Linked DNA regions of Tribolium castaneum. The protein of the gene in region 1 purifies or fractionates together with the protein of each later gene. This does not show direct contact. Links are inferred from orthologs where the notes say so. Each region holds a gene or a part of one and is shown in the gene's direction. Other genes may lie near its edges. The genes, in order: Ctr1A and Usp32.

Region 1 (4,472 bases):
GCGATGCCCTCACGGCAAAATGAGGCACTTGACAAAATTTATCACTCAAAAAATAAATGTCATTCATTTCCACAACTTTCACTATGCCGTAATCAATGAAGTAAATTTGGGCCTGTTGGTCCTTCTGGTGAGTGGCAGGAAAGCCAGTAATCACACCTCGATAGAAACCACCATCAGTAAAAACAGCACAGTACAAGTCCATCACAAGTTTGTCTTTTGGTATTTGATATTTCTTCCGATTCATGTAATAATACTTGAAGATACACTTTTGAAACACTTCAAGTTCGCGGTATTTTACAACCATCCAAAACTTGGAAGGGTCGTAGATTTGCGTAACTCGGGCACGGAACGATTGTCCTTGCTTGAAAGCGCATTTTTCGAAACAAGTAACCAATTCATTCTTAATACTGTGATTTTCCATATTTTCCCCAGTTTTTTTAACCATCTCATTTGAAAAACAAATTTAACCTAGCTAACTCGACCACATTCTAGGGAAAGTGAAAACGTCATGTTGGCGATATTGATGTCGGTGAAGACAACACCAAAAATGAAAAAAGATCTTATGAAATTATTTAGACAAGTGCGCTATTGCTGGTAATTCCTTTATTTAACGGGAATTGGTTCAATTTCAATTTCACCGGTTCGATCAGTATGAATTTTATGACTGCTTATTTTCTTAGGAAAATTATGACCCTAAATTTGGTAGTGGTAGTGACAAAATAGTGACAGTTTGAAAAATTGTCTGTAATTTTTTCGCCCCCTTGCGATATGAGTATACCGTTATTTCCCAAACTAAAACCAAAATTGATCGATCCGTTGTGGTTTGACGTTGATCAGCCTTGCGACGATGAAGAGGAAGTGTCGCAATTAGAGGCACAACACCAAGCTTGGGTACCCCAAAGTTACTAATTTTCCACAAATTTTGATTTAATTCTTGTAGCTACAATCCATATCGCAACGTGACAGTGATTTAGCCCCCATTGGTAAAACGGTTTGCGAGGTAAGGGACGAGCGCGTTGTTTGGTCTTGTTTCTTATTTTAGCCACAGAATTTGGATGAGGACGATGATGAGGAGGACGAAGACGATAACGATGACGATGACGAGTCCGAGAGTCACGATGAGGAAGAAGAGGATGAAATCGAAATGGACATCTCGCAAGAAAGGAATTCGCCAGTCGACGTAATAAACCCCAATGCCACGGTGTAGTTTATTTAAAATATTTACCTAGCTCTTAGTGCTACAAAGCTGTACATAATTCTAAATAAAAAATATTTATTTCAAGAATTTTTTGTTTAACTTAACCTCATTTTTTTCGAAGGGTTGGTAGCGCTGTTGTCCCAGTTGATTCTGTCATTTGTCAAATTTTGAAGTTGCACAACAATTATTTAAACATTTAATTAAGTCTTCAAAATGCTTTAACGATACATTTTGCTCAAATCAGCATCCTTATTTTTGTTAAATAAGTGACCATTAGTTGCAATCCCTTTTATTACAATTTTCCGACATAACCTATTGTGTCTCCTTATTCTAAGTTCAAAGTGAAAGGTACAAGAATTGTTATTTGTTTAAAACTGGAGTAGTTGAGCTTTCACCGCCAATTTTCATTCACATTGGACAGTGGTTCGGCCTTAGCTGGAATTTTGCGAATAAGGACAAGTCTAAGGTTAGTACTACTTTTACTGAATTCCTATTTCGAATAGCGAATTACGTTTGTTGTTAATTACGTAAGTTCGTAGAACAAGACACCTGAGGCGTTGAAGGTTTAGAAAAATTTGCAAGGTATTGTTCTCAAAACAGAGGTATGTTCCTGTAACATATGTTTTCATTTTTGGTGTAATTAAATTAATAAAAAATAAATGTAAATCACTTTCTAATCAAAGTACAGTCATTGCGGAAGTATGAGATAACAAGCGAGTTTAAAGTGTGTTTCATTCCCGATAAAAACATTTTACAGCTTGTATTGTTGTTGAACAATTAGGACCATAATTTAATTGGCTAATTGATAAACAAATACGAATATTAGATTTTTATTGCTGGCCCAACTTCTAGCCACTCGATTTTCTTTAATTTTTTTGTGTCGGGCTTAGCAATTATCTAACAGCTGGGCCAACCATTCTTTATTTAGGCTAATTTAATAAAATTAAATTTAAATAATGTGTCAGTAATCACAACCCAATTAATTCGATTTTAATTTTGATGAGCTTTATTCTGTTAACACATTCGTAGCTCCTTGAAGCCTTGTCCTGTTTTTATCACATCACCGCCAATAATCGAATACAAATTCACATCAACTGATAACAACTGGAACTGTTGCCAAATACAAGTTACGTGACCAAGCAGTACTTATTTTGCACACGGTTCGAAGCTATAGAATCGTGTGCAAAATGTAAGACTATCACGATAAGTACCTTTCTATAAGCGTACTTAAAGTCGAATTTTGAAGAAAAGCTACTTGTATGGTGCCGTGTGCAAGGCGAAAATCAGCCGTGTGCAACAAGTTCTTCAATAAAATGAATAGACCGTGGTCTGAAGATACAAATTTGCGATCATAGCAACCAAACTTTTGGGATTTTACGTCCTTTACTTGTTTTCGGCTTATTTTGACCACAGGAAACCACAGAGGATTTTACGTGCTGATGCGGTCGATATCAGTAGTAAACAATTTACAAAAGTAGACCCTTGAAAGTGACTAAATAAAAACCAAAATTCAGTTGTAGGGGTTTAATTAATAGCAAAGGTGGTACTACTTCAACACAATAATAGGCCGGAAATTCCAATCTGTACTATTATCATGATGACGTTTGTGCCGCTAAAATTTCAGACTTTAAACATTCCAAATTCTTTGAATAGCAAAACAGTTGCGACTATTCTGAATTGGTAATTGGGTATCTCATGAATTCAGCGACCTCAGCAATTGACTGTACTTTATTTTACATGAAGTAAGCAAATGAAATGTTTTCAGGACGTTGCCATTTAAGAAAAATGCAATTTTTGTGTATTTTTATCGGTCACCTTTATTTCAAAATATATTTTCGTGAAAAAAAAAATTGCTGTTGATATTTCATCATCGGTATTGGAAACAAAGATAATAATGACAAACAAATTTTCATTGTTTTCACAGTAGACAGTAGATAAAAGTAGTGCCACCGATAAAATATCGTTTTTTCGGTTTTTGATCGTCGCATCCTTTTTGGGTACAATTTTCTGAGCGTAACATTGTTATTTCCGTTTGTGAGTGATAACTTCCCTCCACACAAATCTATCGGTGGACGATAATAATCGAGAATACTTTTTATTTGACTAACCGTAACCGTATTAATGAAAGTTAGACCAGTTCAGTTCCTTGTAGTAAGCGGACAACAACGATTTCTTTTACTTTAAACGTAGGTCAGTCATTTTATTTATTTTAGCAATTTGGTGGTTAAATAAAATGACACAAATTATCACAGTGTCCATGTAAAATATTTTCAGAAATGGAACACCACAACCACGACATGCACGAACCGCTGGACCACAACATGCATCAAGGGATGGGTCATATGGGCCACGATATGGGCGGCACAACCATGCCGAAACATGATATGATGAGCCATATGATGTCCATGGCCGTAGGCAAATTATTTTCTTAATGAATTTTTTCCAAAATGATTTTTTCTAGTTTCACACTGGCTATAATGAAACTGTGCTTTTTGACCAATGGAAATTCTCAACCATTGGTGGTTTGATCGGTTCTATGATTGGGATTTTCTTCATGGCAGCTCTTTACGAAGGCTTGAAATACTACAGGTGAAAGGCGATTTTTTGGAGTCGCTTATGCTTTTTTGGATCATTTTAGGGAATACCTGTTTTGGAAAACCTACAACGCGCTACAATACAGGGCCGTTACGCTTCCAGAAAAGGGGGTCGTGTCGGAAGACAACCAGATTGTCCAGTAAGTTTAAAAATTCAATCAATTGTCACAACAGATTTTTGGTGTAAAGATTTATTTCGCTTGAACTAAAATGATTCAATGCTAGATCAAAGTTTATTAAACAAATTGGCTACGTGAACATTATCAGCAGACATATTCATTTCAAATTCTTCAATCTAAGCGATAGTTTTTTTTGTTACGAAATTTTTATGTAACACTGGTTTTAATTGCATGAAAGCGTCTTAAAAATGTTTTTTATATTATTTACATTAATTAATTAAATCTGATTTTTTGACTAATTCTAGTATGGTGGGAGAAGTCATCCATAAACAACCGTAAGTCAAAAATTAGTATGGAAACGCACCTAACGTAGAACGCAGCACAATAACTTTGTTTTTGCTTTTTCTTTCACTCGTTTTATTTTTCCTACAAATAACCGACCCTTTATTAACTTTTAACATTTGGCAATTCCTTGACCGATTAATCTTATTTAGTGATTTAATCAAGTCCAATTAATTTTGTAATTCTTACAGACCAACGATGCTGAGCGGCATGCACTTC
Region 2 (4,525 bases), on another chromosome or scaffold:
AAAAAATACTAAAACTGCTCGGAAAATTGTCCCATTTTTGAACCAGATACTCATTTATTGCATTTTTCGAGCATCTTAATATACGTTTATTTTTAAACTAAACCAAAAAATCACTTCAAAATAGACGCTTTCTTTTGAGAAGAAGAATTAAATACTGTCAGAAATAACAATATTTTTGCTTTTTACATGAGTTTTTCCGCAAATTTTTAAAGCCTTAAAACAATTTTTTTGAAAAAAAATTACTAAAACTGCTCAAAAAATTGGCCCATTTTTAAACCAGACACTCATTTATTGCCAGATCTTGTAATAACACCCAAAAATTTAAAAAATCACTCGAGATTAATATTTTATTTGTTTGATTCCATACAAATATTTTGATCCCAAGATAATTCGAGAAATGTTAAAAAAAAGATTTGGGAAATTGTAGCTTGTATAACTGGTTGCCTATTTAAATTAAGATTACTGTCTTTATCTCAACATCATTCCTGTACAATGGCATTTATTTTGTAATTAATTGTACCTGTAGTTATCAAACACTTGGGAAAAATAAATATGACCTAAGAACCTAGTGAACAACTCAATTACCACCCAATAATGAAATCTAGTTGGTTTTTCTCGAAATCAAACTTATCAGAATTATCGATAATTCACTTATCACAGCCAACTTTCATTGCACTTTTTTGCAATTACAGCCAACTCACCTAGTCAGAGATTCCTTATAGTCTAAATCATCAATTCCAAACCTCTCCCTGATATTCCTAAACACCAAAGGACAGTATTCCTTAACCTTAAAATGCGAGGACATATTCTCTCTAAAAAAACCATTATCACCAATTTTTCCCCCAATTCTCTACCATTCTATACTTATTGAACAGATGATTATCAACTTTGATTTTGGAATAGGCCCGAAAATCGTCTGGCAGAAGCATGACAGGGATGGTGACATGCATCAGTTCATTAATCTACAACAAACCCTGAAACTTGCCCCAAAACCCTCGCACATACCCACCGTGTGGTTAATCCCCCACATGAAGACCGACAGAAACGGCTCGTTCGCCCTAAAAAGCTTGACTTTCTGGTGCTTCACCCTGAAGTGTTTCTTTTTGAGCTTCGACGGCCCCATGCTGCTCGGCAAAGACATCATCTGGTTCGCAAAATGGCCGCCAGTCCAGTCTCAACCTTAGGTGCTAACCATCCCGAAAACCTGGCCAATTTACAGGAATTTCAATAAATTCGCTCAAGGACCGTTTTTTGACAAAATCTGATTGTTTAGACACACACCTTCATTGATTAGTTATCGGCTGAGCTCGGCGATGCTCGCCAAAGTCACCAAAACCACCAAACCGCACATAAAAACCACGCAAAAACGGCCCCCGTTATCGCAAAAACGCCCAAAAAGCGCCAAAACTTGAAAAAATCCAATAATAATCGTTTTAAATAAGTTATTAGGGCTTGGTGAGTGTGGCGAAGACCAACCTCGCGGGCCGAAAATCCCCAGGAAATGTCAGCCGAGCAGTCAGTCGTTGTGAGTGTCGTGCGTTGAAAACCCTCGTAAAATGTTAGAAGACTGCGTGAAATTGTGAAAATGGGAGCAAAGGACTCGAAACGGTCGTGCTTGCCCTACGAGGATGCCGTCAAGCGAAGTAGGTATCAAACCCTGCACCCAAACCCCTCACCTGTCATTACATCATGTGACATAACTACGTAAATATTATTGTTGTTAACTAATTGCTAATTAATGCCTAACCCGAAATTCCCCCCAATTATCCAATTCCAGTGTCTGAGGAGGAATACAAGCGGATATGCGAGGCGTTCAAGCGGCTGAGCGGCGGCAACCAGCTCCTGAGCAAGCAGAGCTTCATCCTGCACGTGCTGGGCGATGGGGTGCCCCAGGCGATCGCCGAGTGGCTGTACCTCGCCTGCGGCGGCACGCCGCGCGGCATCGCCCTCAAGGACCTCGTCTGCGGCCTGGTGCTGCTCACCAAGGGCAAGCAGGACGAGAAAATTCGCTTCCTGTTCACGCTGTATTGCAACGATTCGGGAACGCATATCACCAGGAGCGAGTTCTACAGCGCCTTGCAAACCGAGGGCACGCTGCCGCCCGATAAGCCCAACAGGCCCAACATCCTGTGGGAGAGGACGATGCTCTCGCTGTTCCCCGTGGGACAGGATCGAGTGACCTATGAGCATTTCAGTGCTTGGATACAGTACAACAAGGAGGCGACGATCTTGTCCAAGTGGTGAGTCGGGGATGGCAATTCAAGGGCGCGTCCATTCATTGGTGATAACTATTTTTGTAACAAAGTCAAGTTTAATGACAAAAGATTATTAATAAAAATCATTGGTGATTAGATAAAAAATTAATTTGGTGTCAGGGGGGGAACGGTAGTTTAGTCCTTTGATTAGATAAATTAAATTCTTATTAATTCGATGGTCTTAAGATAATGTAAAGGTTTTTTATTGTGTGGTTTCCACGAATAGTTTTTTCCGTGTCGTAAACAATTTTCCCAATGAAATAAACATGTGGTAATGATAAAGAATATTGACATTTGTTTATTATCACCACGAGTCGTTTATTTAGTTACCTATTTTTGTAAAATTGAATCTATTCCGTTGTATTTTTTTTAACGCGACGAGCTTAAAATAGCTACTTGATAAGTGGACACTTTTTAATCTACTTGAAATATATTACTTTATTGTTTTAACGATTTATACCTACTTGATGGGATTGTTTTTAAGTAAATAGCTAATCATGGAACTAATATTTTATTACTTGTGTGAAGGTTTAATCGAACAAAAATATTTGTCTTTCCATTATTACACTAAAATTAGTGTTGTTGAACTTTGGAATTGGTATTTGTGGGGTAATTAAAGGTAAAAAGGTTCATTTTTTATCCATTCCCGGCATACTTTATAATCTACATCATGTACATGAGTTATTAAGGATTGGAAATTGGACCGAAAGTGAATTCATTTTCTTTTTATATTTCTGTATTTATAACATTAATAATCATGAGTAGAAATGCCAAAATAAAATTTTTCGTTAATTTTTATCTCTCAAATAATAATAATAATTTATTTGTGGCAGTAAAACAGTTACAATACAATTAATTACATCAAGAAAAAAAATACGATAATAAAATTAAAATTTTCTACAACTTGGTTTCTACTACAAATTGGACCAAAAGGCAGCAAAGCTGATCAAGGTTTTGACCCAGACAATAAATGAGAAATAACAAAAAATAAAAATAAACAATATAATAATAAAAAAAAAATATCTAATTCTATTTAACAAAATTATAGAGAGGAAAAAAACACATAAGAAGAATAGAAAAATCATTTTGTAGTATTTATGTTTAAAATTGCTGATTTTAGAATTTTTAAAATTTTTAAATAAATGCATTACATAACCGAAATTTTATGTTTTTTTATCATCAGTGTGCAATTATAATAAAATATACCTCTATACATGATAATTACTGAAGGTGGGAATTTATTTTTGGTCGTTTAGTATAGAAATTATTAAATTATAATTTAATGGAAGAACCTTGTGACTGGTGACATTAATCTTTATTTTTTTCTCACATCTATTACAGGAATAAACAGAATTTATTCTTGAATTGATGGCTACAAGGTCTTTAACAACAATTGGAAAAATACATACAGGGTGCTTTAAAAGTTACTACCAACTTTCGAGTGATGAGAAAAGACGTTCAGCAGCTAAGCATAAAAATAAATTTTTTTCCAAGCAATTTAATTTCTATTATTTACGTATTATAGGTTGTTTCCAACGTTTATTATCGTATTTGCTAGTTTGCCAAATGATTTCTATGTCATAAGAAAAATTATTCGTAGCTCAAAACTTTTAAGTTATGAGAGAAATTTTTTTATACCCTTATTTCAAACAACTTTTTTATTGTGAATAACAGTGTTTTATAAAAAAATGAAAGAGAACATTGCAAATATTTGTAAGTCCTTTTTGTCAGCAAAATTGAGAAATTGTGAAACGGAAATAAAAAATTATTTTTGTATGTTTAAAATTGTAATTTAATAATTCGAAAAAAATAAAAGTATAATTTTCTATGTTGTATTAATCTGTTATCTACATTTTATCTATTAGGATAGATAAGATGTAACGGTTTCATAGAAAACAGAAGACAAAAAATTCCACTAGTGTCTATTGTCATATCACAATAATAACAATGCTAACAATAAAAATAAATCACTCGCTCTGTGTTGAAGTTGATTGGAAAAATTATGAGTTTTTGTTGAAAATAATTAACTTTCAAAAGAAATTCAAAAAATGTGAAACAAAAAAAGTAGTAATATATTTTTTCTGCAAATACAAAAGTATTACCTTTCTATTATTTTTTTTGATTTTTTTACCTTGGAAAATTTAATTAAATTTTTTTTTGCAATTTTGAAAATAATTCACTTGTTTTCAAAACCACCAAGTGATGGTAGAGCCCATTAGAGTCACCTCACCCTGAATAAACATACATAAACAAAAAAATTAATTAAACAA

The links.
Region 2: the proteins of Ctr1A (region 1) and Usp32 purify together in Homo sapiens (co-immunoprecipitation; 3 studies listed by BioGRID and IntAct, with this or other methods). This does not show direct contact. The link is inferred for Tribolium castaneum from reciprocal best matches to the Homo sapiens genes SLC31A1 and USP32.

Annotation. Positions count from the first base shown.
Region 1 is NC_087397.1:10,500,340-10,504,811, forward strand, and holds the start of Ctr1A (high affinity copper uptake protein 1), read left to right. Parts: upstream 1-1,398; 5' UTR 1,399-1,664; intron 1,665-1,731; exon of another isoform or gene 1,732-1,800; intron 1,801-3,048; exon of another isoform or gene 3,049-3,388; intron 3,389-3,450; exon of another isoform or gene 3,451-3,472; 5' UTR 3,473-3,474; coding exon 3,475-3,609; intron 3,610-3,659; coding exon 3,660-3,787; intron 3,788-3,836; coding exon 3,837-3,932; intron 3,933-4,216; coding exon 4,217-4,246; intron 4,247-4,444; coding exon 4,445-4,472. Other genes in the region: anaphase-promoting complex subunit 15, read left to right, coding at 769-891, 941-1,000, 1,049-1,207.
Region 2 is NC_087401.1:13,771,450-13,775,974, forward strand, and holds the start of Usp32 (ubiquitin carboxyl-terminal hydrolase 32), read left to right. Parts: upstream 1-1,448; 5' UTR 1,449-1,585; coding exon 1,586-1,643; intron 1,644-1,777; coding exon 1,778-2,240; intron 2,241-4,525. Other genes in the region: PIP4K (phosphatidylinositol 5-phosphate 4-kinase type-2 alpha), read right to left, coding at 702-812, 865-962, 1,010-1,144. UniProt on the Homo sapiens protein: Deubiquitinase that can remove conjugated ubiquitin from target proteins, such as RAB7A and LAMTOR1.